Linked DNA regions of Nothobranchius furzeri. The protein of the gene in region 1 interacts with the protein of each later gene in a biochemical or structural test. Links are inferred from orthologs where the notes say so. Each region holds a gene or a part of one and is shown in the gene's direction. Other genes may lie near its edges.

What was found.
Region 2: the proteins of lrrk2 (region 1) and gak interact on a protein array, tested with the Homo sapiens proteins (3 studies listed by BioGRID and IntAct, with this or other methods). The link is inferred for Nothobranchius furzeri from reciprocal best matches to the Homo sapiens genes LRRK2 and GAK.
Region 3: the proteins of lrrk2 (region 1) and ndufaf7 form a complex in vitro, tested with the Homo sapiens proteins (2 studies listed by BioGRID and IntAct, with this or other methods). The link is inferred for Nothobranchius furzeri from reciprocal best matches to the Homo sapiens genes LRRK2 and NDUFAF7.
Region 4: the proteins of lrrk2 (region 1) and nek1 interact on a protein array, tested with the Homo sapiens proteins (2 studies listed by BioGRID and IntAct, with this or other methods). The link is inferred for Nothobranchius furzeri from reciprocal best matches to the Homo sapiens genes LRRK2 and NEK1.
Region 5: of the proteins of lrrk2 (region 1) and eukaryotic translation initiation factor 4E-binding protein 1, one has a biochemical effect on the other in vitro, tested with the Homo sapiens proteins (3 studies listed by BioGRID). The link is inferred for Nothobranchius furzeri from reciprocal best matches to the Homo sapiens genes LRRK2 and EIF4EBP1.
Region 6: the proteins of lrrk2 (region 1) and cdc42ep3 interact on a protein array, tested with the Homo sapiens proteins (2 studies listed by BioGRID and IntAct, with this or other methods). The link is inferred for Nothobranchius furzeri from reciprocal best matches to the Homo sapiens genes LRRK2 and CDC42EP3.
Region 7: the proteins of lrrk2 (region 1) and anks4b interact on a protein array, tested with the Homo sapiens proteins (2 studies listed by BioGRID and IntAct, with this or other methods). The link is inferred for Nothobranchius furzeri from reciprocal best matches to the Homo sapiens genes LRRK2 and ANKS4B.

The regions. Positions count from the first base shown.
Region 1 is NC_091744.1:48,474,694-48,478,193, forward strand, and holds part of lrrk2 (leucine-rich repeat serine/threonine-protein kinase 2), read left to right. Parts: intron 1-2,671; coding exon 2,672-2,858; intron 2,859-2,932; coding exon 2,933-3,114; intron 3,115-3,231; coding exon 3,232-3,455; intron 3,456-3,500. UniProt on the Homo sapiens protein: Serine/threonine-protein kinase which phosphorylates a broad range of proteins involved in multiple processes such as neuronal plasticity, innate immunity, autophagy, and vesicle trafficking.
Region 2 is NC_091757.1:57,439,124-57,443,140, reverse strand, and holds the start of gak (cyclin-G-associated kinase), read left to right. Parts: upstream 1-1,217; 5' UTR 1,218-1,390; coding exon 1,391-1,532; intron 1,533-4,017. UniProt on the Homo sapiens protein: Associates with cyclin G and CDK5. Seems to act as an auxilin homolog that is involved in the uncoating of clathrin-coated vesicles by Hsc70 in non-neuronal cells. Expression oscillates slightly during the cell cycle, peaking at G1.
Region 3 is NC_091742.1:17,055,007-17,059,141, reverse strand, and holds the start of ndufaf7 (protein arginine methyltransferase NDUFAF7, mitochondrial), read left to right. Parts: upstream 1-1,335; 5' UTR 1,336-1,565; coding exon 1,566-1,614; intron 1,615-2,147; coding exon 2,148-2,308; intron 2,309-2,619; coding exon 2,620-2,700; intron 2,701-4,135. UniProt on the Homo sapiens protein: Arginine methyltransferase involved in the assembly or stability of mitochondrial NADH:ubiquinone oxidoreductase complex (complex I).
Region 4 is NC_091748.1:39,057,581-39,061,656, forward strand, and holds the start of nek1 (serine/threonine-protein kinase Nek1), read left to right. Parts: upstream 1-1,276; 5' UTR 1,277-1,416; intron 1,417-1,704; 5' UTR 1,705-1,736; coding exon 1,737-1,853; intron 1,854-1,945; coding exon 1,946-2,042; intron 2,043-2,192; coding exon 2,193-2,290; intron 2,291-2,422; coding exon 2,423-2,506; intron 2,507-2,592; coding exon 2,593-2,660; intron 2,661-2,748; coding exon 2,749-2,835; intron 2,836-3,609; coding exon 3,610-3,664; intron 3,665-3,880; coding exon 3,881-4,076. UniProt on the Homo sapiens protein: Phosphorylates serines and threonines, but also appears to possess tyrosine kinase activity. Involved in DNA damage checkpoint control and for proper DNA damage repair.
Region 5 is NC_091757.1:46,259,649-46,263,827, reverse strand, and holds the start of eukaryotic translation initiation factor 4E-binding protein 1, read left to right. Parts: upstream 1-1,379; 5' UTR 1,380-1,701; coding exon 1,702-1,837; intron 1,838-4,179. UniProt on the Homo sapiens protein: Repressor of translation initiation that regulates EIF4E activity by preventing its assembly into the eIF4F complex: hypophosphorylated form competes with EIF4G1/EIF4G3 and strongly binds to EIF4E, leading to repress translation.
Region 6 is NC_091752.1:7,949,782-7,954,039, forward strand, and holds the start of cdc42ep3 (cdc42 effector protein 3), read left to right. Parts: upstream 1-1,458; 5' UTR 1,459-1,688; intron 1,689-4,258.
Region 7 is NC_091752.1:56,799,427-56,803,636, forward strand, and holds the start of anks4b (ankyrin repeat and SAM domain-containing protein 4B), read left to right. Parts: upstream 1-1,410; 5' UTR 1,411-1,641; coding exon 1,642-1,802; intron 1,803-4,210. UniProt on the Homo sapiens protein: As part of the intermicrovillar adhesion complex/IMAC plays a role in epithelial brush border differentiation, controlling microvilli organization and length. Plays a role in assembly of the complex.

The DNA.
Region 1 (3,500 bases):
AATCCTTTAAAAGAATGGCCTTGGACGAGCTTACAGATGGCAGTCATTCCCCTCCCATTCCACCTTGTTTCTTCTAGGGCTGCCGGCTGAAAACTAGGGCAATGAGGAGGCAGTGTCAGAAGTTTGATGTCCTTATCAAGCTTATATTTCTGTATGATATCTCGCCATATTTTCAGGGTTTCTTCTACAATGCAATTCTTACACCTTTGGTCCATGTTTTCCTCAATAGCCAATTTTCTCTGTGGTTTATATTTCCCTACCTTTTCTTCAATTCGTTTCCAACTCACCTGATAATCCGTAGGCTGCATATCTTAGTTGTGACGCATAAAAATATTCTTATAAATTGGGTACGGCTAATCCTCTATTCTCTTTAGACACTTGAAGGGCTTTTAATTTAATCTGTGGTCTTGCGCCCGCCCAAATGAATCTGGAGATCTGTTTATCCCATGCATTGAATTGAGATTCTGGGATTGAGCCAGGTATTGAGAGGATAACATGCAGGAATCTGGGTAGCAGATTCATTTTCACTACTTCCATCCTAGATCTGAAATCTAAAATAAGTTTTGACCATTTATCCAAGTCCCTTTTAATCTTATTATTTATCAAATTATAGTTCATCTCTTTTGTTTTGCTGAGGTTGTGGGCGATCGACACTCCCAGATACTTTATAGATTTGGAGTCCCAGTTAATTTGGTATTTGTGTCTACAGTGGTATTTGGGATGTAGTTAACTGTGTGTCTTTGTGACATTAATTTTGTAACCTGATACATTGCCATAGGTTTCCAAATGAGTAATAAGTTTGCAAAAAGTTAATTCTGGGTTTTGTAATTATATAATAATATCGCCAGCAAAAAGTCCAATTAAATGTACCTCATTAGCTAAATGAACCCCTTTTAACTCCCGGCATTGTCTAATGTTTTGAGCTAGGGGTTCGATATAACTAGCAAATAAAGAGAGACAGAGACAGCATCCCTGTTGGGTGCCTCTGAATATCTGAAATCTGTCCGACAAGAGTCCACTGATCTTCACTCGACCCGTTGGAATTCTCTATATAGTGCCTTTATGCATTTTAATATTTTAGTACAAAAGCCAAATCTTTTAAGTACTTCCAACTGTCGAACGCTTTTTCAGCGTCAAAACTAATTAGTGCTAGTGATATATTTTGATTATGATATTGTTCCACTATATTTAAAGTTCGCCTAATGCTAATTTGCGTTTGTCTCCCCTTTATAAATCCAGTTTGGTTATCGTGAATCGATGTGGGTAAATATTGCTCTAAACGTTTGGATAGGATGGATGTAAACAGTTTGTAATCCACGTTTAGTACAGAGATTGGACGATGAGAATCACAATGTTCCTTGTTTTTCCCTCCTTTGGCAACACCGATATCAGTGCCTCTTTCCAAGATGGTGGTATTATTGCAATTCAAAGTCCAATTAAAAGAGTCCAACATTATAAGGGTTAAAGTTGTCTTAAATGTTTTATACCACTGACTAGGAAAGCCGTCATTTCCTGGGAATTTGTTTGATGTCAACCTGTTTATAGCGTTTTCTAGTTCCTCCATTGTGATTGGTTTACTTAAGGCATCGTTTTGTTCCTTTTGCAGTGAGGGTAAGTTTAAATCTTTGAAGTACTCTATAATCAGACTTTCATTACTTTCCTGTGGTTGGGAGTAGAGTTTTGAATAATAGCCTTTAAAACTTTTTGATATTTCTTCCGGTTCAAATAGCAGTTTATTGTTCATTAGATTTCTTACCTTGTGTGTTGAATTTCGCGTTTGCTGGGTTCTCAAACGTTTTGCCAACATTTTAGTTGCTTTACATCCTGATTCGTAGAATGTTTGTTTAGTAAATCTTAATTTTTTTCTCTATTTCTCCTTGTAATATTTCGTCAACTGGTTTCTTGACGTCTTTTATCTGATTTAGGTGGTTTTCGTCTGTTTTCTTTGGCTGTGTTCTTTCTAAATTCCTTAATAATTAGATGGATTCCTCATATTTTTGTTTATCGTATTTAGGTAGGCTGTTCTTGCTATAAGCTTCCCTCTCATTACTGCTTTTATTGTATCCCATATTATAGTTGGCTCAACCTCGACAGTGTTGTTTTCTCTCATACACTCTTCAGTCTGATATTTATCATTAAGTATACTTACATTTAGTCTCCAAGTAGTGTTTCCTACCCCCGTTCTCAAGTGAAGGATAAGACTTATAATATTATGGTCTGAAACATCCGATGTCCCAATTTCACACTTAATCACTCCGTGTCTATTGAGAGAGTTCATGAGGAAGCAGTCTAATCTCGCGTAAACCTGATGTACAGCTGAGTAATGTGTGGGACCTTTTTCAAGTTTGTGCATGTCTCTCCACACATCGATCAGCTCTGACTCTTTTAGGAATGACTTGAGTGTTCTTGATCTTTGCCTTTGGTACCCTTTCAAGATTGTTGTATCTATTGATTTGTTTAGTATTGTATTCCAATCTCCCCCGCGTACTAAAATTCCCTCACTTTCTGAGATTGCTGCATCTACTAATAAACGGACACATTTTGCATCACACTCGGGAGGGACATGAACGTCTGCAAAAGTTATTAGGATGTTATCAGTAAGAGGGAAATTCTTTCAATGAACTTTTCAGTAAACGTTTCGTTAGGCCTCCGTCTCTGTCTGTCTGTTCAGTTTGCGATCAGTGGACATGAGAACCAACAACATCACGGTTCTCCCGGGTCCGGGCTTCTGGGCATCCAGTAACATCAGGGAGCTGATTTTCAGTCAGAACAGCATCAAAGTTCTGGATGTGAGTGGACCAGTCTGCAGGTGGACCAGACTGGAGAAACTGCACCTGAGTGACAACAGGTTGACTGAGGTAAAGAACCCTACACAGGATTTAATGTGAATGTTTCATAACAGAGGACAGATTGTTGTGATGTTTGGATCCAGATCCCTCCACAGATCGGCCTGTTGGAGGGTTTGACGTCCCTAGATGTCAGCCAGAACTCCAATCTGCGATCCTTCCCAGATGAAATGGGAAAACTAAGCAAGCTGTGGGATCTGCCGCTGGATGGCCTTCGACTGGAGCTGGACCTGAAACTCATTGGAAACAAGACTAAAGACATAGTCAGGTCAGAGGAGGAGCTGTGCTGTTGATATTATTTACAGAAGAAGACAGATTCATCTGATCTTCAGGGACATAAACAGAACACAAATATTTATCTGCTGTGTCTGATCTAACCTCTCAGGTTCTTGCAGCAGCGGCTGAAGAAGTCAGTGCCGTATTATCGCATCAAGCTCATCGTGGTGGGCAACTCGGGCAGTGGGAAGACCACACTGATCAGGCAGCTGATGAAGCTCAAGCGCTCGCAGCCAAACTCAAAGCAGAGTTCTGTTGGTGTTGAAGTCTCTGACTGGACCATCAGAGAATGGGACAAGAAGAAAATGGTCCTGAATGTCTGGGACTTCTCAGGTCAGCCTGCATGTGAAATCTGACTCCACTAGACTAGAGGTCATC
Region 2 (4,017 bases), on another chromosome or scaffold:
ATAAGGCGCCAAATATTGGTGCGTCTGCAGAAACCAGAACACTTCTCGGTCTCCTCTTGGGTTTATAGTCAGATCTGTAAAACTAACAATGCCAGCATTATGAAACTCTCATCACAAGGTAGATGTGCTAAATAAGAATATTTGTGTTGTAAATGTTAAACTCAATTAAGTTGGTGAAATTATAGCATGAAAACTAAATGCGCCATATTTGAACATTTATACTTGAACAAGTAAAATAAATTAGGAATATTTTAATGTTTATGTTTATTTATTTAGCAGACGCTTTTATCCAAATCGTCTTACAAATTATAACCTATAGGGCATGTTGTGATCTGTGGGGGAAACCGGAGTACCCGGAGGAAACCCACGCATGCGGGGAGAACACGCAACTCCATGTATAAAGGCAACAGCCGAGTTTCGAACCTGCAACCTTCGTGCTGCATGCGAGACAACAGTAACAACTGCGCCACCATGCAAATCTGTTATTTTTAGACATATTCATAATATTCATGATAACATACTAACAAGTATGATATTGAATATATTTTACAGTTTTATAGTAAGATTTCTCTGGGAAATGAAGGCAGTCACTGCGCCAACCAATCTCACCATCAGTGATGATGATGAACAGGAGGAAGATGATAATGGGACAAATCCTCAAATATAAAATATTCTAATAATCTATACTTGATCCAAAATAGTATCTATTGTTCAATAACTTTTCAAAAATATTCCACAATGATTGCTTTTTCTTAAAAAAAATTCTAAATTGTTTAATAATTATGAAATATTCTGTATTTTTTAACAGTGATATAATGTTCTAAAATTAGCTAAACTGTGTCTTATAATGATCTATATTATTCAAAAATAACGATTATTTAACTTGTTGGATTTCTTTTACCAGAACAGGGCCAACGTCCATATTTGATCACTTCGTTTTCTCTGACTTTCTGCATGAAAATAAATAGTTTTGAAAATTGTAACAACAGAAATGCCTTTTGGTTATGGACTACAACAACACCCTGGGGTTGAAACATTTTTTTTAATACTTCAATGAGTGCCCTATAAAGAGTTAATAGCAGATCTGGTCTCATCTGTGTAAGATCAATATTATAAAGCCAAATTCCAACGTCATCAGCAGGTGCTTTTATTTTATGCACTTCTGTGTCACGTGACTTAGTCACGGCCAACGTCATCACCTTTCACGGAAGTCAGAGCTGTGACGATGGTGGCCTTGTCGGTTTATTCGCAGGAAGACAATGTTTGCTTTCAATGAAAAAATAACACCGCGTTAGAAAAGAACAGCCGGTGTAGTTTTCTCTGCGGAACCTGCGGGACCTTGGAGCGCTCATCGGCGGCCTAAACGGGCGCTGGACAAGAAAATACAAAAATGTCCCTCTTCCAGTCGGCACTGGATTTCTTAGCCGGGCCCGGCTCATCCGGAGCGGCAAGCCGGGACCAGAACGACTTCGTCGGCCAAGTCGTAGAGCTCGGTGACATGAAACTGAGGATCAAGAGGGTGATTGCTGAAGGTGAGAAACTGAACCACGACAGGAAACGGGACCGTAATCTCTTACAGACATGCTAGGTGGTAGCCGGATAAGCTAAACATACTAGCAGCATCAGTTAGCAAGTGCTGACCTGTGAGTCACCAAATCCCACTCGATCATTTTGTTTCTATCTAGTAAAAATTCATTTTGAATGTGTGAAATGTCTAAAGGAAGACCTGTTCAGCCCATCCCGCACGTTCACGTGACTTGTGTTGTTTATGATTTGGTGGGAGAACGCAGACATTGTAGGTTAAATTACCATAGTGCTAATATAATAATAACAACAACAACAACAACAACAACAATAATGAGAGATATGAGAGGCGTGTTGGTAAACAAACAGCCACATCAGAACAAGTGGCTGTTTCTGGTTTTTGAGAAACTCGTTCTGAGCTGAGATCTTGGGAACAAATGTACACCCCAATCAGAAATATGAAAATAAAGATTATTTTAGAATCCTGGACAATAATTTCCTATGATCCTGCAGCAGACACAGCTTTGTTTGTTTGTTCACAGCAAATTAGATACAGCGGTGGTGTAAAACTACTGAGCCTGTGTTTGTGGTAGCAACACAGTGTAATTAAAGTAAGTTTATTAAGAGTGGACTTTAAGCACATAAGATAAAATCTAAGCATCATTTTTTAAAGAGATTTTCTGTGTAAATATTTTTAAAGGAGCATTTTGTCCTTTAAAAGTCATAATTAACCTGTGTCTTATTTGTTTTCCATTTAATTTATGCACATATACTCTCAGTATATTTACATGAATCAGCATCTGTGTACTCTAAATGATGGAGTTGTACATGCCCACAAGAGGTTAAAGGGAAAGAACAAAACCTTTCAAATCCAAGCAGGTGGAGATCATTTTACTCAAACACTCTGCTTTTCCAACTCCCATGTTGCTGTTTGAAAGACGTCTTTGTTCGTTTTTACCAGGATCTTTGGTGGAACGTGCTACGAATAAGTGACCTGTAATATTCTTGTTGTCGGTTGTATAATTAAGGGTGGAATTTTTAAACAAGGATGCTTGGAAATCAGAAGAAAATGAAACTTAGGTTTCATCTCTCCTCATTGTTACAGGTGCTAGCGTGCAATACCAGTCTGCTTATTTGCTTAGTTTATTATTTCTTTACTAGCTTATCGTTTGCTGTTGCTTTTTAATTTGACTGAAGTGAGATCATGTTATTATAGGTGTAGATGTTACAGGTTTGAATCCCAAACAAGTTCAGGAATTTGGGGCTGGAGTCATGAAACCATCTTCCACACCTGGGCAGTCCCTCTTATGTAAATAAAGTGTTAAAGATTAGAGGCTTGAGCCTGTACTTCTAGTGATTTCTGTTGAGCAAAGCGGAGCTGGTGGTTAATGAACCCCTGGCTACAGTGACCATGCTGGTTTTCTTGGACCTGGTTGTGAGTAGGTTTTTGTTAAAGGTGTGTTTGACTGAAAATACAAATTTTTAAATGTTTTAAAATCCTCAAGAAAGGCGGTTGGATTTTTTTAATTGTCCAACCATCCATTCTCTTCCGCTGATCCGGGGTGGGGTAATGGGGGCAGCAGCCCAAACAGAGAGGCCTAGACTTCCCTCTCCCCAGCCACTTGGACCAGCTCCTTCGGAGGAATCCCAAAGCGTTCTCTGGTCAGTTGAGAAACAGTCCCTCCAGCGTGTCCTGGGTCTGCCCATGGGTCTCCTCTCATTTGGACTGGAGGAAAACCTCACCAGGGAGGCATCCAGGAGGCGCCCTAACCAGAAGCCAGAGCCACCTCAACTGGATCCGCTCGATGTGGAGGAGCAGCGGATCTACTCTGAGCCCCTCCTGGATGACCGAGCTTCTCGCCTATGAGCCCAGACATCCTGCACAGAAAACTCATTTTGGCCGCTTATTTTCACTTTAATGGCACGATAAAACTCCTCCTATTCCGCCTTCAGGATAATAAGTTACGGTCATGTCTACTAGAGTAATTGTAGTTGTGTGTTTGTTGAAAGACGCCTGTTGTGTTGTCACCGTACACTAAAGCTGAAGCAGGTTCTTTTTGTTTTGTGGCAGCAAAGCTAGTTTTTGTGAATGGCTCTGAGTTCTTTCATGAATTAAGCTGTAAAGAGATCAGGAGGACACTTTCAGTGCTTCTGTTCTACAGAAATAGTTTAAGTGTCAGTCTGTAACCGACAGAGAAGTCATGAATGCAGCATTTCTGTGAAAATGTGCGTTTTCAGCCATCCAGGGCCTTCAGGTTAGAGAAGTCCTGGAGACATGAACGGTGTTGTGTTTCCGCTCAGGGTCTGCTCAGCCGTGAGCGGATACGGTCTTGGTTACACGTTACCTGTGGTTCAGGTTTTCTGCAGGCTTTGTGATCCTTTCTGTGGCATTTTACCCTCAAATGCTGAAGAATCCATCAAACTGCACGATGTAGGCTGGCATATTTGATTAATCTCACTCTGGAAGCTGTTGAGAAAAGTTCCACCGAAGTG
Region 3 (4,135 bases), on another chromosome or scaffold:
ATAAATAATATTTAGGCCTAGTCCACACATAGCCGGGGTTTTTTGAAAACGAATATCCGCCCCTCCAAAAACTTGCATCCACACCACCTTGTTTTAAAACAAAACTGTCCACACGTACCCGGATAAATACGTTGTTAAGGACATGCCAGACCTGTAGGCGGCAGTACCTCCCCCATTCTTAACCTCGTCGATCGACTGTGGTCTTGCGCCAGGAGCAGTAGTTCCTCTTGCAAACACAAACCAGCAAAAAGCGCTTGGACAATTGATGGATCGGGTAGTGACAGAGCGCAGCGCCGAGGGCTTCCATGATGCCGGCTAGTGTAAACACAGGTCGCACACGTGAATTCAGAATTTTTGTGTCGCGGAAAGTGACGTTGCGGACCTTAAAACTCCGGTTTTGTCCGTCCACACGCAGACACCCAAAACAGAGAAAACGCAAATCTTCACTTTGGCCGGAGTTTTTAAAAAGATCCGTTTTCGTGTGAAAAAACTCCGTTTTCGTGTGGATGACAGGCCAAAACGTAGAAAAATATCTATGTTTTGGCAGATCCCCGGCTACGTGTGGACAGGGCCTTAGAGTCCTGCTCTTCATCCCACTCCAGCTGGTGGTGGTGCACCAAGAACCACCACAAAACCGTTCAAATGAGAAGACAACCTACAGAAAACAGGAAAAGAAAATGTTCCTGAAGAGGGGAGAAAATGGACGTGACACAAAGTAGAGCTCACAAATTCACTAGAATACAAAAAAAATAATAATACAGATGTGGTGCCCCCACCCCACTTACTGGTACCCCACCTGGGCCACCCCATTTGAAAAAGCCTGTACACGCCACTGAAGTAAAGATGTTCTGGTGCGGGACCATCGACATATAAATACGGGACCCAGCAGAACTTCTGGTTCCAGAAAGGAAGACATTTATTTCAGATACAAGGGAAAGTAGGAAAATGGAAAAATATAGGAATGAATAGTAGAGATCAAAGAATAATATCAAGATTGGGCTTAATAATACGATGCATCTGATAGGGAAACATCCCACAGGTTTGTGGGGTGGGGGGAGAAACAGTGGAACATGTTTTATGTGACTGCATAAAATATGAGGAAAGTAGAGGACAACTCAGGGAGAAATTAAAAAACATGGGAGGTGGAGTGATAAATGTAAAGAATTTGTTAAATGGTGAAGAAAGGAAATATAAGTTGGTTACTGAGTCTAAAACACAGTGGTTTGTTGAATAGAATTTAGTTTTTTTACGCTCTTACTCCGACTCACACTCCAGCACAGTAGGTGGCGGAAATGCAACTAGAAGTCAGATGCCACCCGCCAATAAACACGAAGAAGAAGAAGCGCCGCTTGTGTTAGCAGTTAGCTCGTTTTCACGCGACTCCTGCGACTTTTTACCTTTTTAAGTAGTTTTGTGTTCATATTTGAAAACGGAGGGCTTAGTCCCAAGTCCGACTGCAACTTTGTTAATTCCCGCCTTCAACTAGCAGCTAAACATTGTGTCATGCTAACGGCTCACTGGTTGGTGTGACGCACACAGGTGTGTTTTACCTGTTCAAAGGCGGAATGAGGCTGAGCAGAGCCTTCATCCGCGCTGTCAGCTCACCTGCAACAGGTAAGAACAAGTGCTGCTTTGTAGAACAGAAGCTCGTCAGGGTTCTGGTTCTGGTTGGGTTCTTGTCAGGCTCAGACGAACTCTGCAGCATCAAAGCGTTACCAAGTAGAAGACGGTAATTATTTACAGGAACTAGCGTTACTTTTAGCTTGTTTGGCTTTTCTCCCGTGCTGTTGGGTTCAAATCTTCCATTCATGCGTCACTAATAATAACATGATGTTAATAACATCAGCTGTTAAAGTCAGACATCTTGTTGTAGGGTGGGAATGGTAAACACACAGAGGGGCAGCTGTGTAGCTCATCACCATCAGAGTGTGAATGGATGAATGTAGGGTCATGTAGTGGGGCTTACAATGGGTTAGGGTTAGGTCAGAACTGGATCTCAGTCTTTGCGTCAGACAGACGTTGAACAGTAAAAGTTGTTCCGGTGGTCTCTGGGATGGAGAACAGCAGCTACTCTGATCGGTTCTGTTTAATGTTGTCTTTGCGCTGCTCAGAAACAGTTGTTCTAACATCAATAATCTGTTGGACAGTGGCATGGAGGTCAGCTCAGTCCAGGATCTTCTGCAGTTCTCCATCAGACTACAGGAAGTCCCAGCCATCCATGCTCAAACATCTGACCTCCAAAATAAAAGCCACTGGTCCAGTGTCTGTGGCTGAGTACATGAGGGAGGTTCTAACCAACCCAGTGACGGTACGTAACATTCCTGTTATCCAGAACATTTTATTTATTATTCCTTCAAACTGATCAGCTGATCATCAGACCACCTCTGGAGAGAGGACTTTGTTCTTATTTCTTCTCGAATTGTGGCAGGACGTTTAGAGTCAGAGCAACAGTAGAAACATGAGACAGGTCCATGTTTATCTTCATAGAGCCCAGACTAAGTGAACCTGACAGTTTGGACCTTAGTTCTAGTTGCTGGTTCTGAATGGACCTGTTTGTCCTATCTTAGGATGGTTTTTCTACTGGAGCTGCTCTTCAGACTGACCTGTCTTCTCCTTTAGGGTTACTATGTGAGGAACAACATGCTGGGACCCGATGGAGACTTCATCACGTCTCCAGAGATCAGCCAGGTGTTTGGGGAGGTGAGCTTCTGGAATCCCTGAAACAGTACCTGGAGGCTTGCAAACATGTTTATGCTCTGGTTCTCATGTCCAGGTTTTGGAGATGGTTCTAATTAGCCGAGGTTCTCCTCAGAGGTGGTGGATACCTTTAAGTACCTTGGTGTTCACAGCAAACTGAACTGGTCCAACAACACAGATGTTCTGTTTCAGAAGGACCAAAGCCGCCTCCACCTCCTGAGGAGGCGGAGGTCCTTCACAGTTAATTCCCAGCTGCTAGAACCCTTTTATCACTCTGTGGTTGGCTCTGTTATCCACTCTGCTGGTCTGTTGGGGTGCAGGCAGCTCTGACCGAGACAGGAAGAAACTGAACAAGCTAGCTAGCTCAGTTCTGAGCTGCCCACTGGATTCAGTTGAGGAGATGTGTGAAAGGAGGATGCTGGGGAAGATGACCACCATTTTAAAAGCCCGTCCCACCCCACTGCATTCCACTGTGGAGACCATGGACAGCTCCTTCAGAGGCAGACTGAGACATCCCAGATGTAAAACAGAACGCTGCCGTAGGTCATTCATCCCCTCTGCAGTAAGCGTGTAGACCTCCTCAGTTTGACTCGTACTGGCATTATCCTGGTACACAATACCACCAATACAATACTCAGTATAGTTTAACTGGTACCCAAAAGTATGACCATATTTCACCGGTTCTTTGAGGCCTTTGCTGGCTTCTGGTCGGGTACAGAATTGATTTTAAAATGTTGTTACTTGTTTTTAAATAACAAAATGTTCTTGCCTCTCAGTATTTGTCTGAGTTGTTGACTTCTCATGGGGCTGTGCAGTGTCTTTGGCAGTGGCGGTTTTACCATTAGGCATAGGTCGGCGGCCACCTGGGGCCCCCTTGTGTTGGGGGGCCCCTAGCCCTGACTGCCGGCACCCCTCTGTTAATGCCACAATATTCTTATTACCATCCTTTCGCCACAGACGGGATTGGACATGCGCACTTCTCATTACCATAATTCCTGAACCGTTCAAGATATCATTAAGATTCCAAAAGTGCTGAAAAGATTAAAAATGGGGCTTTTCGTGCATATGCAATACATTACGGTCTCCACCGGGATTCCCTGTCTTGAGTGCAACCAATCACAACACAGATTCAGAGATATGCTGAGTTTGTCATCCAAAATGCCCCGTTTTAAAACTTTTGAATGGCTGATCAGATTAAAAAAATTCCAACAGTTCCTAAGTACGTAAAAGCAGCTTTCCAACGATCTATAGCATGAAGCAATCAGAGTTATGGAAAACATCGCTACAAGGGGAAATTCTGCTGTACAGCCTGATTGAAACCGAGCGCAGCGCCGCGGTGAAAGCGGAAAATGGAACGGGGAAGCTAATCAGCATAAAAGCCAGCATGAAATTATGGAAATGCCTCAAAGAAAATCAACACGATCTGTTAGGTGTCCCA
Region 4 (4,076 bases), on another chromosome or scaffold:
GCCGTGCAGCAACGCTGTTGCAACAGGCCAATAATGTACTCATTCTCTATTTGCTCATGCATCTTGAACTCCTTGAAGGTGGCGCACAGCGACGTAAGAAAGGAACGGAAATCATTGTTGTTGGAGAAGTTCGTTTGAGACAGCTGAAAAAAAAAACTAAAATTAGGTCAGTAGTGAAACTTGAAATATTGTTAATTCTGTTGTCATAGTTATGCTAACAGATGCTTCACGTAATTGTGCACAGTGTACCGCGTTAACAGAAATATCTGCAGTGGTGACCTAAATATGCTAGTCTGACACGTATTGGCAGAGAACTTGCAACCTGCTCTCCAATCCCATTAGCAAAGTAGCTCTGTTAATTGGAACATAACTAAAACTACAAGAGGCGTGTTTCGAGTAGGTTACAAAAGAGCTGATACAACAACATTAAAGGCAAGTAAAACTCAGGCATTTCCACACAAGTCTAACTAAAAACACGTGAATCCGTGTGTAGGAGCAATCCAGACATCCGACAGTTCATCTGCTTCGGTTCACAGCTAAACACACTACCAGCTAACATCAACTAGCTAGCATGCTAACCTGCGCTCAGTCATCCTTTAGTAAGAAAAACGATCGGTTTCATTTGTAAAACTCAAAATTAACGAATTAAATTGATATCTACGCACCTTTTCACAATACAGACCCACAAGCTGCTTCATTCGCCAGTGTGGGCCAGTAAAAACATCCACCTCGTCTGGAAAAGGAGCCATCTTCACTAGTCCTCACCACTGCGTCATCTGCATCGACTCGGACTGCAATATATCAAACACGGAGGAGTGCGTGAGCCAGTCACGTGACCCTAATTTATCATTGGGGCGGTTGTTTTGGGTGTGTTGCCAGCATCGGTCAATAAGTCAATGTTCTCATCAACATTGAACGCGTAACAAGCATATACGTCGATAATTTAACGAATGTGTTACTCCGTGCTAAAAGAAAAGAATGTTTGTAAGCAGAAGGGACTCTAAATTATTCAGTGGTCTAGATCAACATTACTCGCTTGTGTTGTATGTACATAACAAGCGAGTTTAATTCTGATCTAGCCACTGCTTGTCACAAAAACACAGTTTGTGTGAATGTCTGTATCTGAATTCATGACAAGTAAAAAAAAAAGTGAGTAACGCCGAAGCTTAACGACATCCCTCAACGGTGGCTAGCTATTGTAATTGTATGGTGGTTGCTAAGGGAAATGTTCACAGCAACAACCTTATTGGGGGTTGGTTATGAGAGATGATCAACAGCTGTAGGAACCAATCACTTTTCGAGAAATGTCAAATTGTCCAATGAAAACTAAAGAAAGTCATCGTCATCAGCTCGAGCGTGAGGCTAGCAGCGATTTCTAGAATCTCTTCAAAACTCCAAGGATTGGAGGAACTAATGGTAAGTTAAATGTTATTCTCGTAATTAATTTGTCATTTTGATACGTAAGGGTCGTTTTTTATCATCAGGTTTTGAGCGGGACTCTTGTTTTTTGTAGCAATCATCGTCTAGCTAGCTGTCAGCAGCGTTAGCTACCTGGCAGTGTTGACTCTCAGCATCACTGCTCTGACTCCTTCATGTCTTTTTGTTTTATCTAGTGTAGAATTGTGATTAATGAATGACATTTGTTTTCTAACTTTTAATTCAAAGCTTAGAGACAGAGATCATCCAGAACTTTCCTATTTCCAGATTCAGCATGTAAAGTCAGCCTATCTAGTAACATGGACAAGTACGAAAAGGTGAAGAAAATCGGGGAAGGTTCATTTGGAAAGGCTATCCTGGTGAAATCCAAAGAAGATGGACACCAGTATGTCATCAAGGAGATTGGCATATCTGGTGTAAGATGCTTTGCATAATTCACGTTTTCCATGGGTGAGTTACCTCCTCATGTTAATCCATGAATTTACATGAGTTGTATATAATTTTATAGATGTCAAGTAAAGAGAGGCAGGAATCTCGCAGAGAGGTTGCTGTTCTTGCCAACATGAGTCATCCCAATATTGTCCAGTATAAGGAGTCTTTTGAAGGTATTTACATAATTCAGAGTTCACCTGTTGTGATGAAATACAATAATTGTACTACAATAATCTGTGTGTGTGTGTGTGTGTGTGTGTGTGTGTGTGTGTGTGTGTGTGTGTGTGTGTGTGTGTGTGTTTAATATCACTTCGAATTTTTAGAAGGGGGATGTTTGTACATCGTGATGGATTATTGTGAAGGTGGAGACCTTTTCAGGAAGATCAACTCTCAAAAAGGAGTTTTGTTCTCAGAAGAGCAGGTAAGCTTTGATGCTGTAACTCTATGGAGTAATTATTTTTGAATAGCTGTGTTTGTGTTAAATGAATTATGCGATGGTGATTTCTGTTTTGATACCTCCTTGTTTGGTTTGCCCTTTTTCTGTCTTTCCAAGATCTTGGATTGGTTTGTCCAGATTTGCCTCGCTCTGAAGCATGTACACGATCGAAAAATCCTCCACAGGGATATTAAGTCACAGGTACTGTTTTCTGTGCATCTGTGGTTTACAGGCTATTTATTCTATTATTTATTTGTTTGTTTAATGTTGTCAATATGTCTGCACAGAACATATTTTTGACAAAAGATGGGACCGTACAGCTTGGTGACTTTGGAATTGCGAGAGTCTTGAATAGGTGTGTTCAGTGCCTTCTGCTGATTTTCGTAAGGACAACATTTAAACTTGTTAAGACAACAAAAACGTTGTTCTCCTCTCATTTTCAGCACTGTTGATCTTGCGAGGACATGCATAGGAACACCATATTATTTATCACCAGAGATTTGTGAAAACAAACCATACAACAACAAAAGGTAATGGATGAGTTTGAATCAACAGTGTTTCGGTGTTTCCTTCATTTAAAGAGCAAGTCACGCCCAAATCAGCTTTTTTTGTCTTCTAATAAATTATCAATGCATGTCTAATCGCGCTGCAGACACGTGTCGTCAGTAGTTTTGCACTTTAGTGCATTTTAGTCTAAATTTAAATTTTCTGCCTAAAACTGTCAGTGTTGTGCCGTCGTCAGGTAAAAACTCTGCACTGCATTTGAATTTAAATCTGCCATCGCTATTGGCTAAGAGGTACCCTAGAACGTTAGCTGGTACCATGTGATGTCACAATGTCGTTGTGAGCCTGTGTGTGTATTTATTAGTGGCTTCGCCCCCTCGGTCTGCTAGGCAACAGCATTTGTTGCATTTTTCAAACAGGAAGTGGGAGTTGAGTTAGACTCTGGTAGGGGTGACTTGCTCTTTAAATTAGAACCTCTTAGTCCTCATATCCGCACTCTTAACAGTGAGTTCATGCAGGATTGTGTTGCTTATTGGTGATGTCAGCATGGTCACCTCGTGATACTTATACTGCAGAAAGCTAATACTGTTTTCTTCCTTGCCTGTTTTAGGTGTTCATGGTGTCTACTTTAGTCATTCTAACTATTCCAGTGCTTAGTCAGGAGTTTTCACATAGGCCCCAATCAGTTTAACATGCATTAAATACTATTAATAGCCTACTCTGTGAACGTAAACCTTCCCTGACTGCCATCCCTGCCTGTTCATGTGTACCTTATTTCCCTACTGTCCTTCCTTCTGCAGTGACATTTGGGCCCTAGGATGTGTCCTCTATGAAATGTGCACTCTTAAGCATGCAGTAAGTATTTGTGTGTAAGCTGTTCACATATCGGTGCACATTTTAATGCATTCTTTGTAGTCCTGCAGTGTTCACTCATATATTCTGCTCTTGGCTGCAAACACTCTGGTTTCAAATCTGACATTCAGAAATGTCGTGCTGTTGATTTCCACTCTATTGTCTTAAACATGTTCATTCATTATACAAATAGTCGTGTGTGTGTGTGTTTCCTTTTAGTTTGAAGCTGGCAACATGAAGAACTTGGTCCTGAAGATCATTCGTGGTTCATTCCCTCCTGTGTCTGTTCACTACTCCCAAGAACTGCGGTCTCTCTTGGCGCAGCTGTTTAAACGAAACCCCCGAGAGAGGCCCTCAGTCAGCAGCGTACTGGACAAGCCTTTCCTTTTCTGCAGGATAGAGAAGTTTCTCACAC
Region 5 (4,179 bases), on another chromosome or scaffold:
GGCTTCCACATTGTGACGGTCTGGATGCTAGAAAAGAGTCCAAGTTGGTGCAAAGCAGAGCGTGTTGTGGTTACACCAGTGAGACGAGGAGCCCTGCAATGGACTGCTGAAACATGCACCAAGTTCATGCAAAAATGTTAACTCTTGCAAAAACTAGAGAACACATGTATATTCCTTTAGAATGGATTGAAGACATTATTAATAGCATATTACTCGATACTAAGGAATGCAACTGCGCACATGCACAAAAAGTTTTTAATATAAAAATGGCTATATATATGAAACATACAAATATATATATTTACTTAGAATGCTATGCACCCCTGTCAACTGGGATTCCTGTTATGTTATGGATGTCCTTTTTGCATCATACAGCTGTAGCTACTAAGAGACTTTTAAGTTTGGGTAATGCCTGCAACCTGGGGATAAATAGGGGTTTTGTGGGTGTTTTAACTTATTTTGTTTGCTTTTTTATTGTCATGGAGAGTCAAACATAAAATATACATGTGAAAACCTTTTAATCCAATCAAAATCTGAGGGCATCTGTTGACAATTTACTCTGTACACCAGCTCAACATTTACAAAAATTAATAAAGAAATGAAACATCTTTGCGTATTGCGTGTAATTTTTTTCATGTCTTTAAATGACGTTTCTTGACTTTGAAGTGTGTTTTTTCCTGACTGACACAGTGAGTAGATCTTCGCTCGTTTAACCATCCTGCCAGGAGATGCATCAAGCTTTGGGGGAAGTCTGTTATAGACGTGCTGCAAAAAAGAAACATGAATTCAAAGAAATTCATGAAATCTGAATCTGATTTAAAAGCTTCTCTTTGTGTTATTAAAACTTGTGAAGTTATAGATCTAACATCTCAGAGCTAGGAATGTGGTCAGAATAAATAAAACAATTATGTAAGGGCTTTTAAAAGCAAATTGTATTGAAAATACATTAAAATGCCGAAGAAACACACACACACACACACACCTGAATAAATTCAATAATTATATTTGAGCAGAAGATGACAGCAGGATTTACTTACTGATTTTGCTCCTTTTAAATAAATCATCTGTCAACTTGACATGATTTAAAATCATTTCGGAGGCGGACTAGAATAAGGCAATCTTCTTGTTGAAAGCATAATAACGCAATATAACGTTCCTTAAAAGGTGAAAATCTGGAACAGTGTCTGCAGATTTTGTATTTAAGAAAATTTTCAAATAGAATGAGGTGAAAATAAATACATAGTTTTTTAAAAATAATAATAATAATTATTATTATTATTTTAATCTCTGTAGCCTAGTATGCACCAGTAGATGGCGGAATAAATTCGTTTAGTTTGCACCGAACAGCGTTCTCCCTACAGGGCTGCAGCAGCCTGTCTGTATGCCTTGATGGTCTGCCTGCGTATGTCTGTGTGTTGTTTTGTGTGCATGTGGAAACAGAGAAACGGGTGCTGCTGAGGTCCTTTTTCACCAAACATCCTCGACCCGTTTTGAGTGAGAGCGCGTGTGTTAATGTGGCTAACTTTAATCGCCATAGTTTGCACTCATGAAATCTAGATATTTATTTTTATTCATCAGAAGGCGACCGTTCTGCTGCTGAGCCAAATCTAACACTCCTCTGGCTTTGTTCTGTCAAACCCAGACGTTCTTCTTGTTTCATGTCATCCAGTTAGTTACTTTTAATTTTTTAGTTGAGAGAAGATGTCCACAGACTTTCAGAAGACAAATGCCAAGGCCATCCCGTCCACCAGGACAGTGGCCGTCAACGAAGCGGACCACATGCCACACGACTACTCCACTACTCCCGGGGGGACCCTTTTTAGCACCACACCGGGCGGTACGTTGTGTGTTTTTAACTCCACATTAACGTTTGTGTGCTTGGTCAAAAGGTCAGTGGCACGAGACCTGAATCCATTTAACAGCAGCGTTGTTGCGTGTGTTCATGCTAACTCCATGAGGTCGGCTTGGCTGCTGTCATCTGATAGCTAGCTATACTGAAGCTAACCGCTAACGCTAACTAGCGATCATTGAAAAAACAGAATAGTGAAAAACTAAAAAGTGGCTTTGAGGCATATGACCAATGTCGTTTTGTAAATGTAATTTTGCAACACAATAACTAATTTTCAATTAAGTGAAAATCGTTTTTAGGGTTTTACTTTGACTTCTGTACATCTTGTCACTGGGATCTGAGTCACGTGATCAAATCGGTGCTCTTGAGTTTATTGGCGGTGACCTAACCAGTTTAAAAGCCCATTACGACCACCTACTGGACTGGAATTTGGGATCAGATGCAGCAAAAGAAAAAAATCCAGTGGTGGGCCTAGAAAAACATGTACGGGGTGGCAGAAGGGGGCAAAATTTTGAGGATGGTAAAATGGAGCATAAATTACTATACTCTTTGGGCACACAAAAGCTTTTGAACTAAACTATCCATTAAAAATGTGTCTGTGAATTCCTATGCACTGAGCTGTACCAAGGTCAGCATAGATGCACTATATGGAAAGAAATAATAATAACAATAATGGATTGGATTTATACAGTGCTTTTCTTGGAACTCAAAGCGCATTCCATTAAAGTCCCATTAGTCATCATCACACGCTGGTGAAATGACATCTCCGTATTTGACCCATCCTCATGGGGAACGGTGAGCTGTAGCAGTGGCTGCACTCGGGAACTATTTGGTGGTTAAAGATGAGTGTCTAGCAGGGAGGCATTGGGTCCCATTTTTAACTCATTCACTGCCAATAGTCGTCATTGGAATTTTTTTACTGTGTGGGCATTGGAACGAGTCCCCGCGCCGAGAAGCAAACGTCTCAGCTCTGAAGCTGATCTTCATCCGCATACGTCACAGGTCACATGACCAGGAAGCAGAAAATCCATGTGTTAGGAGATCGGTTTGGGTTGTTCCTTTAAAAAAAAAAACATGAGGCGCGAACCGGAAAAGCGTCTGCCGATCACAATTCGACAACGAATTATGAAAGAATGGATAACGCTTGAAACACGCGGATTCTTCCTGATCTAAGAGGTGAGTCTCCTCTTTGTTTTGGTTGTTTTGGCGTCGACATCATCCTAGCGCGCAACGTTCTGTGACTCTTAAAAAACAGTAAAAATGGCGAGAAATGCTGGCAGTGAAGGTCTTCAGCGATCAGGAAATGGCTGGCAGTGAATGAGTTAAAGTCTTTGGGATAACCCGATGAACCACGATCTCCCAGTTCCAGTGCGGACACTCTTACCACTAGGCCACTCAGAAGGTTATATTGTTCACACTCTCACGTTCACACTGCCGGGGATGGTAAGCTACGATGTAGCCACAGCCACTCTGGAGTGGGCTGGCATTTTGTGCCACCACCAACACAATGTTTCACTGCAACAAGGTACTAAACTTTAGTTTTATTATTCACTCAAACACATTTCTTTCCCTGTTAATTCATCAGTATTTACATAACCATATATGTTTTTTTTATTTCAGGTCATTATTTTATCAGCTTGTGTCATGATCGGTGTAATCGGACATGCTACTTTCACATTCATAATGTCTGATTTGCCACAACTATTTCATGAATTATTGCTGCCTTCTTCTGAGGTGGCAAAACTTTCCTTTAGGGAGGCAGTTGCCACCCCAGTAGATCAGCCCCTGAATAAATCCAACAAAACTAGATTTTTTTTTAAATCTGACAGATTGTTTATTTTAAGAGTTTAATGAGGTCAGAGCTGTTACTGCTTTGCCAAAGAGGCTTCATTGTTTAACTGACATTGTGATTAAAACTAGGGATGCACCGATACCTCTTTTTTCCAAACCGATACGATACCGATACTTGGATCTGGGTACTTGCCGCTGCCGATTACTGATACCGATACTTCCACCACACAAAAAAATGCAATGATATGGAATACAGATTTTATTTTCTTCTCTGCTTTCAACAGGAAAAGACTGTGAGGTAAATAAAAAGTAAAATATATGAATGGAAATCATCACAAAACTAAAATATTAGGTGAACAGAAATGACAAGTTACAGTGAAGCCATTTTCAAGCAACTGCATTGGTATCGGTTCCTGGTATCGGTTAACTTTCACTGATACCGATACTGGTATCGGTACCGATGCCAGTATCGGTATCGGTGCATCCCTAATTAAAACAGACCTGTTATTTATTTATTTCAGATTTACGTTAATAACACA
Region 6 (4,258 bases), on another chromosome or scaffold:
AGTTTTTATGCTTGCTTTAAAAGTTTCATGTCTCAGTACACATCCATCCATGTCTGCCTTTTATCTTGAACCAAGTCAGATGGAAACCTGTTCAGCACCCCCAGACCTCATATAGTTTCATCTTTAAGTTGATTTACTGACACAAATGAAATTTTGCACCAGATTTCTTTTTTCCAGTTTCACCTGCATCTCTTGAAGTTTTCTGGTGCGTTTCTGAATTCAATCCAATTTTTGTTAAATTATTTTTGGTTTGAACTATGGGATGGAGCTGGGGTGGCTGGATGTTAGTGCAGGTGAAGGAAAATCATAGATAATCACGGGTCCTTTTTGTCATTCACACATTTCCTGACTTCTCGTATGAGTCTTTTGCAACTGATCCAACAACCTTCTCTGGTGAAACTGGAGACTGAAACGGGCCTCTTCCAGTCCCAAAGCACTCACAGGTAGCCCAGTCCCCTGGCAGCAGTGCTCCTTACCTGCATTCGGAGCAGGACATTGTAACTCCTCTTTACCCGGACTTCTGCACATGAGAGTCTGGCTAATACAAATGTGGTCAACAGTTAACATGGGTTGGAGTTGTTTGGATGTTAGTTTGTTCTAAGAGTGTAAAACTAGACCCAACATGGCAACCGCAGTCTTCTGACCAACAGTCGCGGACAGGAGTGCTAAGGGGACTGAGCCCCCTAAACGTCACATCTTAGAAGCACCCCTGCTGGCAGATCATGGATTTGATTGAATTTCTGCTGCAGCTAGTGAGGACAGGAATTCAATTCTACCTTCTAAACATGCAACTTGCGAGCATCGACCGCAGGTCCCCTCCCCCAAGCTGTAACGTCTCTTCCACCTAGCTGTTGCAAAAGCTAAAACACACACTTTACTCTTCTCGGTGGAAATTTCTGTGACATCACCTCTGAGCTGCAATGGTTACCAAGGTGACGGGATATTTTATAATTTATTATGTAGCTATATTAGATTTTAGATGTTTAAACCCTAATTTATATGGTCTGCTGCAGCCATGCGCTGCCTGTAAATGCCCCCCACGTGTGCTGCAGTGCTGCAGCACTCTGCAGTGATCCGTCTGCTCATCTGGTCACGCCTCAGCCTGCTGCAGCTCTCTGAAAAGGGCCAGCACATCATGATTTGACACAAAACGCAGTTTAGGGAAATAATAGAGATGCCATTAATAAAGAGATATGACAGGATGAGTCCCAACTGCATCTCCAGATCAGGTTCTAACCGAAACAAGATGCACTTTACACACTAAGAAGGAGCATTTTAGAGAAAGAAACAGGCAGGCAGACGTCCATCTGTGATTATTTTGGGGGAACGAAGATCACCCGCAAACTGACCAAACCAACACAAGCTCTGCGAGGGAGAGGACAGACGTGCACAGGTGCTGCTGGAAAAAGGCATGTGAGAAGAAACAAGTAGAGAAACAGGCGAGTAAAGCAAACGAGAGGAGGAGAAAGCCAGTGGGGGGAGTGAGATGAGGCGTAGGAGGAGACTCGACTGGCTGGAGAGGGGAAAAGAAGCCGGAGAGCAATTCTGACACAGCTGTCCGGCAGGCGTCCCAGTCGCCAGACGTGCAGCCCTATGACAGTGTCAGCAAACCTCAGGAGCACTTCATTCAGGAGCTGCAGCCTTCACCAAAACACAACGACACCCCCTCCCTCATCAGAGCATCCCAGGTGAGTGGCAGCATGTTTTATCTCAGGTTTCGTGCCATCTTGCATCAGTACAGAATGTGCAGCGGGATCTAATGTGCGCCAGAACAGTGGACATGTATGGAAACGCTGGTCTGTCTACATCTATGACAGGAATTTGGCAACATGATCTTCTCCGGCTTTTCCAAGAAAGACATTTTCAGTCCAGCTGCTGGCGGGAGCATGCTTTTCTCAACTGCAGAGTGTTATTTCTCAAGAGGAGTGGGTTTGAGGAGGCTACACTCAGAAAACGTCTTATTTTCTGCTATCGTGTTGACATTCTCGTCATGTTTCATTCTGAGTCCTGCTCACATCTGCCAAGGATAACTCTGGCAGTGCTCGCGGGTGGCACCAGGGCAGTGAGACGGAGCACAGAACCAATACTCCACCCTACTATCCACTCACAGCACCAGGTTCCTCAAAAGTCAGACCTTTGCCTGTAATTGAGGTTTATTTCAAGCAGCTCTGTCTGTTTTGTAAGGCTGCCATTACCCTCTGTGGTATGTGCCTTTTTAAAGCAGCCTCAAAGAGAGGGTCTCTCTGGGCAAAGGCGTGACCCGGGCCGAGGCCACGCTTAGATGTCAAACAAGCACTCAGAAACTCCCTTCGAGCTGCTTTTCGGAGATTGTGGGAGGAATTGTGAAACGCTATCCGTAACTGCAACAAGAAGTCCTGAAGCTCATCCAGTCATGGATGTTTTAAGGGATGCGTGGTTTCAGTCATGACCAGGCCAGCTGCTCCTCTGACCCGGCAGCAGCTGGAACAGCAGCAGGTTACCTCTCAGAATAAACTGACCCAATGATGTCACACAGACCTCTAGGTGTCCAGAAATACCCAGACAAATCACGAGCCGTTCATTAAGCGACTAGATGCCAGCTCTATATTTATCTGCCTCCACACTCTAGGTTTCATCACCTCCTGCTGCCCCACTGCTCATTTCCAGCCTTCAAACAACCAAACGTTGAGACAGCTTCAATTTTAAGGATGCTGGAGAGGCTCCAGATCAGCTCACACCCAGACAGAAAGCCGTTGACCCAGTGGCACGGTGGTTTTCTCCCACAGCTCCAATTAAGGCAGCAGGGCTGCCGAGGCAAGCAGTTTTAGGGGGAATCTGCCATCAGATCTCCCATTTCCCAAGATGTGCAATTGAAACCCAGGGCAGCAGTCGGTGGTGGCGGCGCCGCCAGGATTGCACCACCCCCGCACGTGCCATGTAGTCTTGTTATTGGAGTAGCTCCAAAAGGATGGTGCAAGTCAAGCGCTAGCTTTGAAGTGTGCTAGAATACACCTGTTCAGCTATTAACAGCCTGCAGGCTGGTCAGCAGCGGGGGTGCGCTGAGGGACGTCCGGAGTCCTTCAGCTGTGGAACCAACAAAGGCTTAGCAAGCTTTGTTGGGTCTCCGGAGGTTTGTGTAAATCGGTGATTTCTAATTGATGTGTGGCTGCAATGGTTCAGAGGAAGAGAACTGAGGGATCAAAGGCGGATCCTGTTCCTCGTAGCTCTTGGATTTCCACTCATGTTTGCTATTTAAGTCAAAGTGACCCATCAGCAGGAAGCCTGAAGGTCATGGATTCCAGGCCGGAGTCTGACTGCAACTGCTGCCGACTAACCGAAGACACACAATGGTCAGAAAATGAGCAAATCTTCAGTTACAGGGATCAATCATTGATCATGTCACATGGGGCAAAGAAACGTCCCGTAAAATGTTTTGTGACAAGCGAGTCACAAAGTGTCTCGCTTTACTAGTCAAAGATTTCTCAATTTCTTCCACTTTCTGACTCACAGGAACGAAACTGAAACCAGGTTGAGTTTGTATGGAAACTCAGATTTAGGCTGTGGAAATGGCGCCAAAAATAATTCACACTTCCTGCCGTTCTGAAGGCTGTAACCAAGTGTCGTGTGGCAGCGCTGGAGTCAGAGGAGGAGGCAAACGCTCTTCTGCACAGCATCCTGGAGGCTTCTGAATGACACCAACTCCATTTGGCCCTCCAGGCTCCCATAGCAACTCTTCTCTGCTTTAATAGCAGCTCTGTCTGTGTGTTCTTCGGTGACTAATAGATCGAAACAAAAATGGATTCAGATGCCGTTTGGGAGAGAATAAGGTGTTGATTTGAAAGTTCCTGCTTAGAATTTTTGATTTAATGTGACTGTAATGCAGACTGTTGATTATTAGGACCAGCAGCACTTATCGGCTGATATTCTGCTTCCTGAGGGCGACAGATGGAGGACGGTGCAGTACGGTGGTGCTGCAGGAAGCCGCCTCATAGGTCTGTTTTAGTTTCTGACTCCAGCAGGTCACTAAAGAGCTAAAAATCCGGAGAGATGCTACAGAGATGAGATGAAATCATTTTCCTTTCCTTCAGTTAAACACTGCAGCAGCAGCACCCCCCCCCCCACCCCCCCCCCACACACACACACACCTCTGTCTATTTCTCACCTTTAGTTAACACTTTCTCTCACCCTCACACATTGTCTATCTCCAGAACCTCGCATAAACACTCAAATTCAGTTCAACACACTTCTCCTACAGCACCAGAGCTCTCTCTGTGATGTA
Region 7 (4,210 bases), on another chromosome or scaffold:
ACTAGTTTTCTATATACTTGACTCTGCCTGAATTAATACGAATTTTGTTAATGGTCCCTAAACAAGCAAAAAATCCTAAACTCTTCTGTTTAAGCATTCAAAGATCAATTAGGTTGATATTTCATATTTATTTGGAATCATCACATCTTATTGGTCATAATTAACTACGTAGATCCATTACAGCTTTCCTACATTGGCTGCCTGTTAAATTCAGAATAGATTTTAAGATCCTCCTTCTCACACATAAAGCTCTTAATAATCAAGCTCCATCTTCCATAAGTGACCTGATTATTCCATATGTTCCTAACCGAACACTTCACTCTCAGACTGCAAGTTTGCTGGTGGTTCCCAGAATATCTAAAAATAGGATGGGAGAAAGTTCTTTTAGCTATCAGGCTCCTCTCCTGTGGAACCAGCTCCCAGCTTTAGTCCATGAGGCAGACACCTTGTCTACTTTTAAGACTGGACTTAAATTATTTGATAGGGTCTATGGTTAAAATCTGATGTTAGCCCAAATCTGGACAAGTGAGGGAGTAGAGGGAGGTGGAGTGTACAGTCGGTAAAAACGACTCTCCCTTGCCCTGCCTCCAACATGCTTCCACCTAAAAGGCTAGGTTATCCAGAGTTATCTCTGTAGTTATGCTGCTATAGGCTTAGACTGCTGGAGGACACACTGACCACTTTCTACACTCTACAACTTTCTTCTACAATTTGCTCTTTAACTGTATTACTTTCTGCTATTTCAGCTGTTTATGTTTTTTCTCTAAGTGTTTTTCTCCCCAGAAGAAGCTAGAATGATGTTCTGCTGAGCTGTGGTGGCCTCATGGAGGGGGCCATTGGCTTGAACACTGTTGCTAACCACTTAAACATTCTCCCTCTCCTGATAATACAATTTAACTTTCTTTGACATTGAATGTGCTACTACTAGTTTACCCATTTAATTATAGATTCACTAGGATAAATACAATAAAGTTTATCTCTCACCAAATAGAATATTTACTAAGAAATCACAATGTAACCATAGAAACACTACTTGGTATATATGTTGTGTGGTGTGTGTGTGTGTGTGTGTGTGTGTGTGTGTGTGTGTGTGTGTGTGTGTGTGTGTGTGTGTGTGTGTGTGTGTGTGTGTGTGTGTGTGTGTGTGTGTGTGTGTGTGTGTGTGTGTGTGTGTGTGTGTGTGTGTGTGTGTGTGTGTGTGTGTGTGTGTGTGTGTGTGTGTGTGTGTGCTCTGTCTTCTCCAGCCCCAGTGAGTCGTGGTGGATGGCTGCTTATTCTGAGCCAGGATCCTCTGGAGGTTTCTTCCTGTTAAAAGGGAGTTTTCCTCTCCACTGTCGCTAAATGCTTGCTTAGTATGAGGATTGCTGTAAAGTCACTGACACTAGTTAGTGACTCGATGCAATTTGCTGGGTTCCTTATGTAGGAAACTTTTAAACTGGTATCCTCTTTAACTGGTCACATGTCTGTTGTGATACTTGTGCTTTCAGGGATGATAGTTAAAGCAGGAACTGACGACATCAAGCTGGACTTTGTTTTATAGCTCAGCTGCTCACACGCCCAGTGATCACTTTGTTTGCTCGGGTCAGCCATCGCTGTTCCAATTCTGTGGTCAGAGGAGGCAGCAACACATTCATTTGAAAGATGTCGAGGTACCACAAGGCAGCGATCGATGGTAACTTGGACCTCTTGAAGGAGGCAACAAGGAAGCACCTGAACACCGCAGATGATGATGGGATGACTCCCACCCTACTGGCTGCTTTTCATGGACACGTCAACGCTCTTCAGCTCATATGCAGCAGAGAGTAAGTTACTTTCTATTATCCAACCAGGATTAGTCTGAAATCAGGCTGTTTGTGGATCAGAACTCTGTCTGTTATTATGATCACTGCTATTCACAAATGAATTATTCCTCCCTAGAGAATTAAATTAAGATTAACAATAAGTCATAAATAACAGCAAAGGAGCAAAGGTCAGCGTTACCGTAGAAGGTGTTTTATGGCTTCTTTTTCATTCAATTGATTTTTATGGGACTTTATTTACACCGGTTGATGTTTTCCATCTTTCTTCCACATTCTCCTTTGAGCAGAGCCAAAATTTTTTATTTGTTCTGTAAAACAAAAGAGCCTTTCATTCAGCCATCTATCCCCCAGTACCCCCACCTTGGCTCCATTAACAGCAACAAAGGACTGGTTAAAATCTAGCCTGAGACCCAGAGAATATGTTTGATACATGACCTAAATCAGAAGTTAAGTCTTTTTATCAGAACCAGTCAGATCTGGGCTTCATAATAAACTCCTGTAGCGATTAAAGCTTTTATGGCTCCAACAGGAAGGAAAACCATTAAAGGCCTTCCAGTTTAACAGCTCAATAGCAACAGCTCATTCTGTAAACCACTGATTTTAACACACTTATTATGTTATAACACAATAATATTGTGGTTTTTATTTTACTTTTATATTACACAACACAAAGGGAGATTTGTGAAGAGACTGCTTTTTGAAGGTTATCGAAAAGTAAAGAATAATAATAAATGAATAAATAAATAACTATATTTCCCATTCATTTATAAATAAAATAGTTTGATCAGCAAAGCACAAGCATGTTGCCAGCGCTCTTAATGATAAACACTCAGATTAAATACATGGAGACGTGTTTAACCAACGTGTGTCTACTTTTTTTTATTATTTATTTATTTATTTATTTCAAAGAACAAGACGAAAATAAGAACAAAAACATGGAATATTTACAACAACACACACAGAAAAAAACAAAGAATGAAAAGGAACAGAGAGAAGAAAAAAATCTTATTTTTTTTTACTAAAGCAACATAAAATTCATCCCCCTCAACAAATTCAACTTGCACACTCACTTTGCAGACACCATCTTAATTCATATTTATATAATTTCTTAATACATTTAATTTGACACCTTTTTAAAATACATTAAAGAGCAAGTCACCCCCTACCAGAGTCTTACTCCACTCCCACTTCCTGTTTGAAAATGCAACAAATGCCGTTGCCTGAGGGCGAAGCCGCTAACAAACACACACACACACACACACACAGGCTCACAATGGCATTGTAACATCACATGGTACCAGCTGATGTCATAGGGTACCTCTAAGCCAATAACGACAGCAGATTAAAATACACATGCAGTGCTGAGTTTTTACCTGAAGATGGCGCAATACTGACAGTTTGGCAGAATTTTTAAATTTGAATTAAGATGCACTAAAGTGCCTAATTATTGACTACACATGTCTACAGCATGATTAGACACTCATTTTTTTCAGTTTATCAGCAAAAAAAGTTATAATAACTAAGGGTTCGAAACTCGGTTGTAGACTTTCTGCGTGGAGTTGCATGCTCTCCCCATGCATGCGTGAGCTTCCCCCACAGATCACAACATGCCCTATAGGTTGAAACATTGTACGTCACTTTGTACGTCTGCCAAATAAATAAACATAAACATAAATAAAGGGTTACATGGCTCTCTATAGCGAGTGTTACTGATGGCTTTCTGTTAATGCCATTATTGCCATTGAAGTTAGATGTTTTGTCCTAAATCCATATTGTTCATGGTTTAAAATATTATTGTTTTCAATCAATCTATCCAACCTTCATTGAAAAAAAATATATATTTTAAACCTTGAACAGTATCGATCTGACTTAACCACTGATGGTGCTGTAAAAGTCTATCTGTTGTGAGCTCAAATACAATATTTATCATTTCCTTTGCATATAAACACTTTTTTGTTTTTATTCAAATACACATTTTTGCACAGATAATGTTAACTACAAAGAAGAAAACATTATTAATATATATCAGAGTTGGAAAAAACATGATGAAAGTTATTTTGTTCATACAAAAATTAATTTTACTAACTGACAACAATAATAATCTTTGTTTTATCGTTTTTGCAAGGTTTTCTCGACATCTATAATAAGGCCTACTTCGTTTTCATTCCTTTCTCCTCTGCATCTGTTTTGAGCTGCAAAAGACACGTTGTTGAGCTAAACTTTAAAGTTAAAATATGGAACACTTTTCTTATTTTTTAAATAATACCCCCACAGGGCGTTTAGAGGTGCAGGATGAATGTACAGTTTCTCCTTTAAAAGCTATATTTAAAAAATGCATAATCAAATTTTTATTTTGTTGGGCATGACACTGGCTTTATGTTTACATCTACTGGAACAGGGTGCTGAAACGT